2 linked regions of the Ovis aries genome follow. The protein of the gene in region 1 purifies or fractionates together with the protein of each later gene. This does not show direct contact. Links are inferred from orthologs where the notes say so. Each region holds a gene or a part of one and is shown on either strand. Other genes may lie near its edges.

The links.
Region 2: the proteins of CDH8 (region 1) and CTNNB1 purify together in Homo sapiens (co-immunoprecipitation; 3 studies listed by BioGRID and IntAct, counting the BioPlex papers as one, with this or other methods). This does not show direct contact. The link is inferred for Ovis aries from reciprocal best matches to the Homo sapiens genes CDH8 and CTNNB1.

The regions. Positions count from the first base shown.
Region 1 is NC_056067.1:29,343,221-29,347,124, reverse strand, and holds the start of CDH8 (cadherin-8), read left to right. Parts: upstream 1-1,553; 5' UTR 1,554-1,914; intron 1,915-3,904. UniProt on the Homo sapiens protein: Cadherins are calcium-dependent cell adhesion proteins. They preferentially interact with themselves in a homophilic manner in connecting cells; cadherins may thus contribute to the sorting of heterogeneous cell types.
Region 2 is NC_056072.1:13,821,593-13,825,496, forward strand, and holds the start of CTNNB1 (catenin beta-1), read left to right. Parts: upstream 1-1,287; 5' UTR 1,288-1,453; intron 1,454-1,921; exon of another isoform or gene 1,922-2,011; intron 2,012-3,904. UniProt on the Homo sapiens protein: Key downstream component of the canonical Wnt signaling pathway.

The sequences.
Region 1 (3,904 bases):
ATGTGATCTATTTCTCTATCCACTTGGGACTGTCTGGTCCAGCGGCAGTTATAATATGACTGAGGCATGACTACTGTTCCTTTTCCCAGGATAAAATTAGCCAATTTCTGAATACCCTGTAAACAGACAGAGTCTGAGATGAGACCAGTTACTTAGTGCCTGTCTCGTGGGAAAATACCCCCCTGCATCTCTTCACTTCTCCCTGCTCTGAAATAATTCAGTTTCTTCCCTAAATCACCTAGAATGTGAAACAGATATTAGACCTATAGTCAGCATCCTTTTCAACATCTCTCAATGGGATGGTAGACAGACACAAAAAAAGTCAAAATTGCATAAATATTATAAGCATATTGTGTCTCTTTTCTCATTCTCCTCACTCTAATTAATTGAAGTCAGATAGTACAAGCTTTACGGACCTCTTGTCTGGTTCTCCATACCCTTTTTTTCTTCTTCCATTCTTGACTTTGTTCCCGGGTAGTAAAACCCTTCCTCAAAGTTCAGCCTTAGCGCACAGAGAATGGACTAAGTGTTCTGTGGAGGGGAGTTAACAAAGGAATAAGGATTAGCTCATGTTAATTTTCACAAATTTTATTTAAAATAGCTGCCTATTTCTACGTGTTTGCCTCACTGATGAGAGGAAAATATATCTGGACCTCCTGATTCCTGAATCCTCCTCTTGCACGGGCTCTGATCCATGGTAGGCGATTCTCAACGTTTGAGTGGAGTCCATCAAAGGATTCGAAAGCGCATCTCGGGGCGGAAGCAAAGGAGCTAGAAGTCTGGTGCCCGAGAGATCTGCAGGCCAGGGCACGTTGAGAAGACCTAGCAGTCTCTCCTAGCAGTCTCCCAAGCAAGTTTCGTTTTTTTCGCACCTACTTATGCATCCCTTGCATCTGCCCGTCTGCGCTTCCTCATCCCATCTCCCTGCAGAAGTAGAAGCCTGGGGATATGAGGAATGCGCACCACCCACAGGACCGCGACACCGTGCCTCTAAACCACAGCGTCTGAGAAGCACGCATTGGTCCTTCCGACACCCCCACTTGGTCTGCCTGAGGATCTTGGCTTAAAGAGGAGACAAGACGCCCCCGCGCACCCCTTTGCCCTGTCGCGTCCTCTTCCTCCCAAGGAAAACAGCCGTGGTTCACTGGGACGCTTTTCAAGATCCCGCTAGCCCCAGAGCTCCGGGAAGATTCAGAGAGAAAGCTCGCGGGGACATTCGTCCGCATCCTTTTGTAGTCTGCCAGCCCTTTTACCCTGGAGCCTGGCCCTCCGCGGGCGGCGCGCACCGCACGGAAGGGCGCATCTTCGCCTAGTGGCTCCGGAGGCGGAGACGCGCTGGGCGCGCTCGAGAGCGAGGAGCGAAAAGTTGTGCGCCCACTTGGTAGCGGGAGAGAACGGAGGAGCGAGCGCGCCAGAGCGCCGGTGGGGGGAGGAAGGGAGGGGGCGGGGAGGGGGCCCGCTTACATGAATTTCCAAGTGGTAGACCTGCCTCTGCGCTCTGCCCAATGAGATCCGTCAGGGGAGGCACCCGACTCACTTTTCCACATCACTTCACAGTTACATTTGGCAGGCAGGCGGGCTTGCACGCCGGAGCGCTCAGCCCAGAATTAGTGGATCTATTTGGAATCTCCCTGCTTCCCCGGAGCTCATCTGCTGTCGCCGGCTCGTGCACGGACGGTAGCGTCCACCCAGCGAAGCTGCACTTTGGGCTGCGGAGACTCAGAGCCCGGCGCGCCCGCCCCGCGTCTCAGCACCAAGCCCCGCCGCTCCGAGAGGCATGAACGCGATCCGGAGGCGTCTGCCCAGCGCGCGGGGACCGCTCGCTGTTCACCGCCCTCGGGAGCAGACCTCGAACCCCTCCAGCCATTAGTGAACCAAGAGGCTTGAAATTCGCCCGCGCGGAGCCCCTCAAGAGTGAGTGATCCTCCACCCAAACCCCTCGTTTTAATCCATGCCCCGAGGACCCAGAAGGGACCTTTTTTTTTTTTTTTTTTTTAAGGAATACCCCTGCCCATTCCGGCACCCTGCGCGCCTCCTTCCATTCGAATGGTGCATGTGGGTTCGCAGCCCCAGTGTGGGGCTGAGCTAAATCTTCTTTCCTGCTATGCGCAGCTGATGGGATCACCTCAGGGTTTTTTACCTGACCATTTTTGCAACCTGCTCTGACAGCAGATCCCGGGGAGAAGCAAGCAGGCTGTGCCCCTCCGGCTTTCCTGCCGGGTTCCCTTTCTTGCGGTCGCCTGGCGATTTCGCCGCCTCGCGACATAGGCAGGCGCCGCTGCAGCCGCGCGCCTTCACTGCGGGGTCCGTGCGGTGAATGGGAAGCACCCGCCGCCGGCTGAAAGGCAAGTGCCAGCCGGAGCAGAAAGGAGGCGAAGGGGAGCGGGGTGGTGGTGGTGAGGGTGCCCTCTGGCTGATTTGCCGCACCACCCCAATCCCGAGGAGACGGAGGGCGACCCCCGCAGTGGGGCAGCGGGCCACGACTCAGCCGTGAGAACCCCAGCCCACGGCTTTCCCACAAGTGGCTCCTCCGGCCCCGGGAAGCGCGGTGCGGGTTCCAAACTTGCCGGGCTCCCTAGCGGCCCCGCGGCTCTGTGGACGCCGAGATACAGCCCTGCATCCAGGCAAGACACCCAAGCAGGGTTCTCTCCGAGCCCGCCAGACTGTGCTCGCAGAGGCCTCCTGAGCTGAGCCGGGGACTCCCTCGGACTCCCTCTCCTAGCTCCGCCAGAGCCCGGAGCTGCGCTTTCTGACAGCTCACTCCTCCCCATCCGCGAATCCTTGGGGGGTGGGGAGGGAGGGCAGGCTGCGCCCCTCGCGGGACCTGAGGAAAAGCGGATTCTTGCCCGGGTTCTGGCAGCGCGTAACAGGTTCATAAGGGACTTGATCCCCGTTCTCTCAGGCTCCAGCCAAGCCTGGGAGCCAGTGAAAATCTGCCGCCGCCAACGAGGATGCCAACAGGTATCCACAGTTTCCTGTGCCTCTCCCTCTCCGCAAGCCCAGACCCTTCCCCATCCAATCTGGCAGAAACCTCAAAGTTTCGTGATCCCGAGACCCTTCCCCGCAGGCACAGAGCCGGCGGCACGTCCGGGACGAGCCGTTTGTCTCCGCGAGCCGAGATGGCAGCAGTTTGGTTGAGCTGCTACATGTAAGAAATCAAACAATATTAATTGTTTATTGTTGCGAACGCGCATTAGTCAGTGATGGAAAACCACCCTGGCAGCTGCTCACTTCAGCTCCAGTTAAAGGATAGAGCTGATAATTAGGCAAGGGAGAAAGGGTCCTTTCAACTTTACCACCGTTTCCTGAAGATTCCACAGAGTTGCCTCTTTAGAGGCAAGATTCGACCATGCCCTTAGCGCGCCAGAGCTGCTCAGCGGATCAGCCGGCTTTCTTTCCTTGGCTTCACAGTATCTGTTGGCCGAGAATGGGAACCGGGACGCAGGAGAAGGCGCACTGGCCCTGCCCTCTCGAATGGGTACCACCGCGAAACTGATCCGAGGCACGGGGTAGGGGGGCGGCTGGGGCCCCTAGGAAGCGCCGGCCCTCTTTACAGCACTCCTGACAGCCATCTCAGTGGTTAACAACCCTCCCTAGGCTGTCACCTCCGGCTTCATTATAGGAGCTTTTCAACTGGAAAACTATGTGCTGGAAGGAGATATTTATGTAAGATTCGAGAGTGGGATTTTCCATCCATTCAACCTGGCCGCTGTACCTCACTGCATGCAAAATGAGCCCTGTCGTTCATGGCAAACACAACTGAAATTTCTGCCTGGCTTTTGCTTTTCATCAGTCGTGTCCGGTTTTCCAGGGGTTTTATCGTGTGTGTGTGTGTGTGTGTGTGTGTGTGTGTGTGTGTGTAAAGAGATTCTTTTAACCAGGAGGACTTTAGAGGATGTTCTCT
Region 2 (3,904 bases), on another chromosome or scaffold:
GGAGGAAAAATAAGCATCCAACAATAGACTAGAGAAAGTGAATCGATCATAATTGTTTCAGCTTTGACAAACACCAAACCTGCTGATTACAATGGAGACATTTCCAAGGGAAAACAAGACCCAACTTCAGCCTATTCAAACGAATTAAAAAATTTTTTTGAAGAATAGAAAATGAGTTTTAAAAAATTAGAAGCTGCTTAATGGATAGCTCTTTCCATGAACAACGAACTTGGATTTCTCAAAGAAGTAATACCCTAGAAATAAACTTAGAATGAAAGAAAAATCCACCACCACCCCCAATATACTGATACTTAGTAGCAAAGTGGAACCAGTTAAAAATGGAAACTGTAAGAATTAACCTAATTGGCAGGGCTGTGGAGCTAGTCCATGTCTATCAGTCATTTGTTCAGTTAGGGACTCCTAAGGACTTGTTGAATTGCGGGCTAGGCGCCTATCCTAACGAGAGTTCGCAGCCTTCACGAGCGGGGAAAGCCGGCGGCTCGGCCGGGTGCTTCATTCCCAGATTCAAGATGAACAGCCGGTAGGGATGCGAGATCCACGACCTGGACCGTGGGGGGCTCTGAGGTGATGTGCGGCTTGGCTGCGAGCCAAGTCCTGCAGAGAGCTTGGGGCCCAGACTGCAACGGCAGCGGAAGCACGAACGCGCCGGGGTCCCCTGACCGGGAGCAGGGCGGCGGCGGCGTCCGGCAGAGTCCAGAGCGGGTGGGCCCAGACCTCAGCTCCGGCATTGCCGCCGCCACCTCGGCCCTGAACTTTCACCCCCCAGGGACGTGTGCCGCCTGCCCCGCAGGGCCGGGGTCCCGATGCCGCCTCCCGCCGGTAGCCGGCAGCGCGCAGCCAGCCTCGCATCTGTTCTCATGGCCCGGGGCATGCGCGAGGCCGGGGCGTCGGGCTCGGGACAGTGGAGAATACCGGTGTCGCCCTCCCTCCAGCCCACCCCGGCTCGCGGAGACCCGCGCCTCCCTGACTCGGACTACCGCGCCCTGGCGGGCCGCCCTCCAGTCCCGCGCGGCGGGGCAGCGCCGGCCTCAACCTGGGAGAGCGCCCGCAGAGCGCGCGGGCGCCCCGCCCCTGCCCCGGGCTGGCGGACCGCGGCGGCGGCGGCGGCGGCGGCGGGCGGCTCCGCGGCGCGGGGACTACTTTCCGCCGCCCGCCCGCGCCCCGCCCCTTGTCCCCGCGCGGCGGAACGCTCCGCGCTGCGCCGCTGGCGGCAGGATACAGTGAATCCTGCGCGACTTATAAGAGCTCCTTGTGCGGCGCCATTTTAAGCCTCTCGGTCTGTGGCAGCCGCGCTAGCCCGGCCCCGGGAGCGAAGAGAGAGGGGAGGCGGAGACGGAGCAAGGTCCGAGGAGCAGCTCCGGTCCCCGTCGAGCCGCCAACGCAGGCCGAGGACGGTCGGACTCCCGCTGCGGGAGGAGCCTGTTCCCCTGAGGTGCTTGGGCGCTCCTTTCCTTACCCGTCTGGGGCTGCTCCCCTTCCCGCTTCGGAGCCAAACTTCGTCGCGGGCGCGCGGTCCCGGCGGCGGCTGGGAGCCGGACCCGGCGCAGCCCGAGGCCCCGGGGTGGGGAGCGGGGAGGGGCGTGTGGGCTGGGGGCGCCGGGGAGGCGGCAGAGGCGGACCGCGCCCGGGGGGCTGAGGGCGGCGGCCGGGCCCGGTTCCGGTCGCGCGGCTCCTTCGGGAGCCCCGGGGGTGCCGCTTTCGGGGAGGGGGCGCCGCGAGGGCGCGTCCGGGAGGTCGGGTGGCCAGCGGGGTGGGCGGGTGGGTGGAGGGGGCTGTGGTTTCCGTCCCGGGCTCAGGCCGCGGCTGAGTTTGGGGGAGGGACCCTGCGCCTCGGGATGCGCCGGGGCCGGGGTGGGGGGCGGGGTGGGGACGGGGGACTCCGCCTTCCCGGCCTCCGCGGGGAGTTGGGGTGCGGGCGCTGGGCCTGGGACGCCACGTGAGGTCCTATCTTTCGTGCTTAAGGACGAATTTTTTCGAGGGTTAATAAGAGGTTAGTGATTTTTAATGGCCTGCCGGTGTGAGTACGCTCGTTTAAATCGGAGCAACTTTAAACCTTAGAGGATCCAAACTGTTAGTGCAGACGGTGTGATGCGCCAGGAGGATTTGCACAGATAAAAATCCCTATCTTGCACCTACATTTTTTTGTACGGTGCAGGTGAGTGAAAGCGGGCGTGCTAGGGAGGTCCTGGGAAAAATAAGGGCGAGGGCGTCTGGCTTACTGTCTCTTAGCAAGTGACCCACAGGACTCAGATTGCGACTGCTTCGAGAATTGTGTGTTCCTGGAGATTCTTTATTCAAATAGTTTCACGGCAACTAAACTTGATTTTGAGAGCGCTTTCCAGCGGGGTGAATTTTCCCCTCGCTACGAAATGGCCCGCAGGAAATTCAAGCTTTGCAACTTCGTTCCGTGTTTTGTCTGGAGAGAGGACTTGGAACTGAGACTTTCAAAGTTCGCTTTTCACAGCCTCCTTCTGAGTCTACTAAACTTGAAAGCTTTGCCAGTCGGGTGTAGTTGTTTGCTTCGTTTTCTTTTCGGTGGTGGAGGGAGCATTGTCTCCTACTTTGTATCTTCCAGACATCTGTGGTCTCCCCCCACCCCCACTCCGGGTTTGTGAGTGGTGAATGAAGGGAGACTGGTCTGCTGGTATGCAGAGGTCGGCAAAAGGAAATCGAGGAGTGGTTTTAGTGAAACGAGAGCTTTGTGTCGTGAATAGTGGTGGCTTAGACTAGACAGCAGCTTGAAGAGACGGCTCGCCTTTGATAAAGTCTGGGCTGCTGTTTTTCAGATGGCTAAGTTGTAAGTATTTTGTCTGGAACTTGGGAAGCCGTTTCATTCTGTCTCTTGGTGTACATTCAGTACCTTCGGCTATCTTCCTGTTAACGTGTTTCCTTAAGAGATACTGGACATAGCTTGACTCTTTTGTTTGTTAATGTTTCTGTTTAATATCTGCTTAGATTAGTGACAAACTTGTTTGGGAGGCATTTTTTTCGGTCTGAACTAAGGCGGCTGCTACATTTATTTTATTTTTACATTCAAGCGCACGAACCTCTTGAGTTTAAAAAAAGGTGCCATTAATGTTTGCGAATATCTTTTCACGAAATTTGATTAATTTGCGTCCAGTATTCATTACTTTGACCTAGTCTTTGTTCTGAAGGCCATGTACAAGGCCCTAAAGTGATTGCAACAGTAACTTGAAAAACTTCCAGGAGCCTATTCTATAGGATTAAAGGAATGCTGAGGCTATTCAAGTCTGAAGTCCTTGAGGGGGAAATTAAAAAACTGTGCTACAAAGTTTAGTATAGCATGTAACTTAGAGTCCTTGAGGAGTTCTAGGCTTGAGATTTTCCCAGAAGCTAGAGCAGCCATTTAAAATTGCTTTCAAGAAAAACCAAATTTTAAAAGGTGACTTAAAAAAAGTAAAACATTTAGTAGTGTTCAAGTGTCAGTGTCCAGCATTTTTCTTTCGAAACATATCCTTTACCAAGATAATCGTGTAGATGATTATGTAGATTCCAATATTAAAACTGAAATCAGATTGAGCTTCTTACTGTTGCTAATGATAAATGGAATAAAATTATCCATATAAATGAAGTTGTATATTTTTCTTTTCATACACACTTCCCTCCTCCACTCCCCAAATAGGAAGAGAAAACTTGAAGTAGGCTGATTTCTCTAAGAGTGTTTTGAGATTTGGTTCTTGGGAAAGCTATATGCACACAGCCTGTTTCATTGTTGGAAGGAGTGGAAGGAAGAGCATAAGTATTGTTGAAACTAGGGACGTGGAGAATTCAAAAATTTGAATCTCACTCTTTTATACTTTAGCAGTGAAATTAAAATCCCAGAGATAGGTTGTTTGTAGTATCTTTAGCCAAATGAAACTTT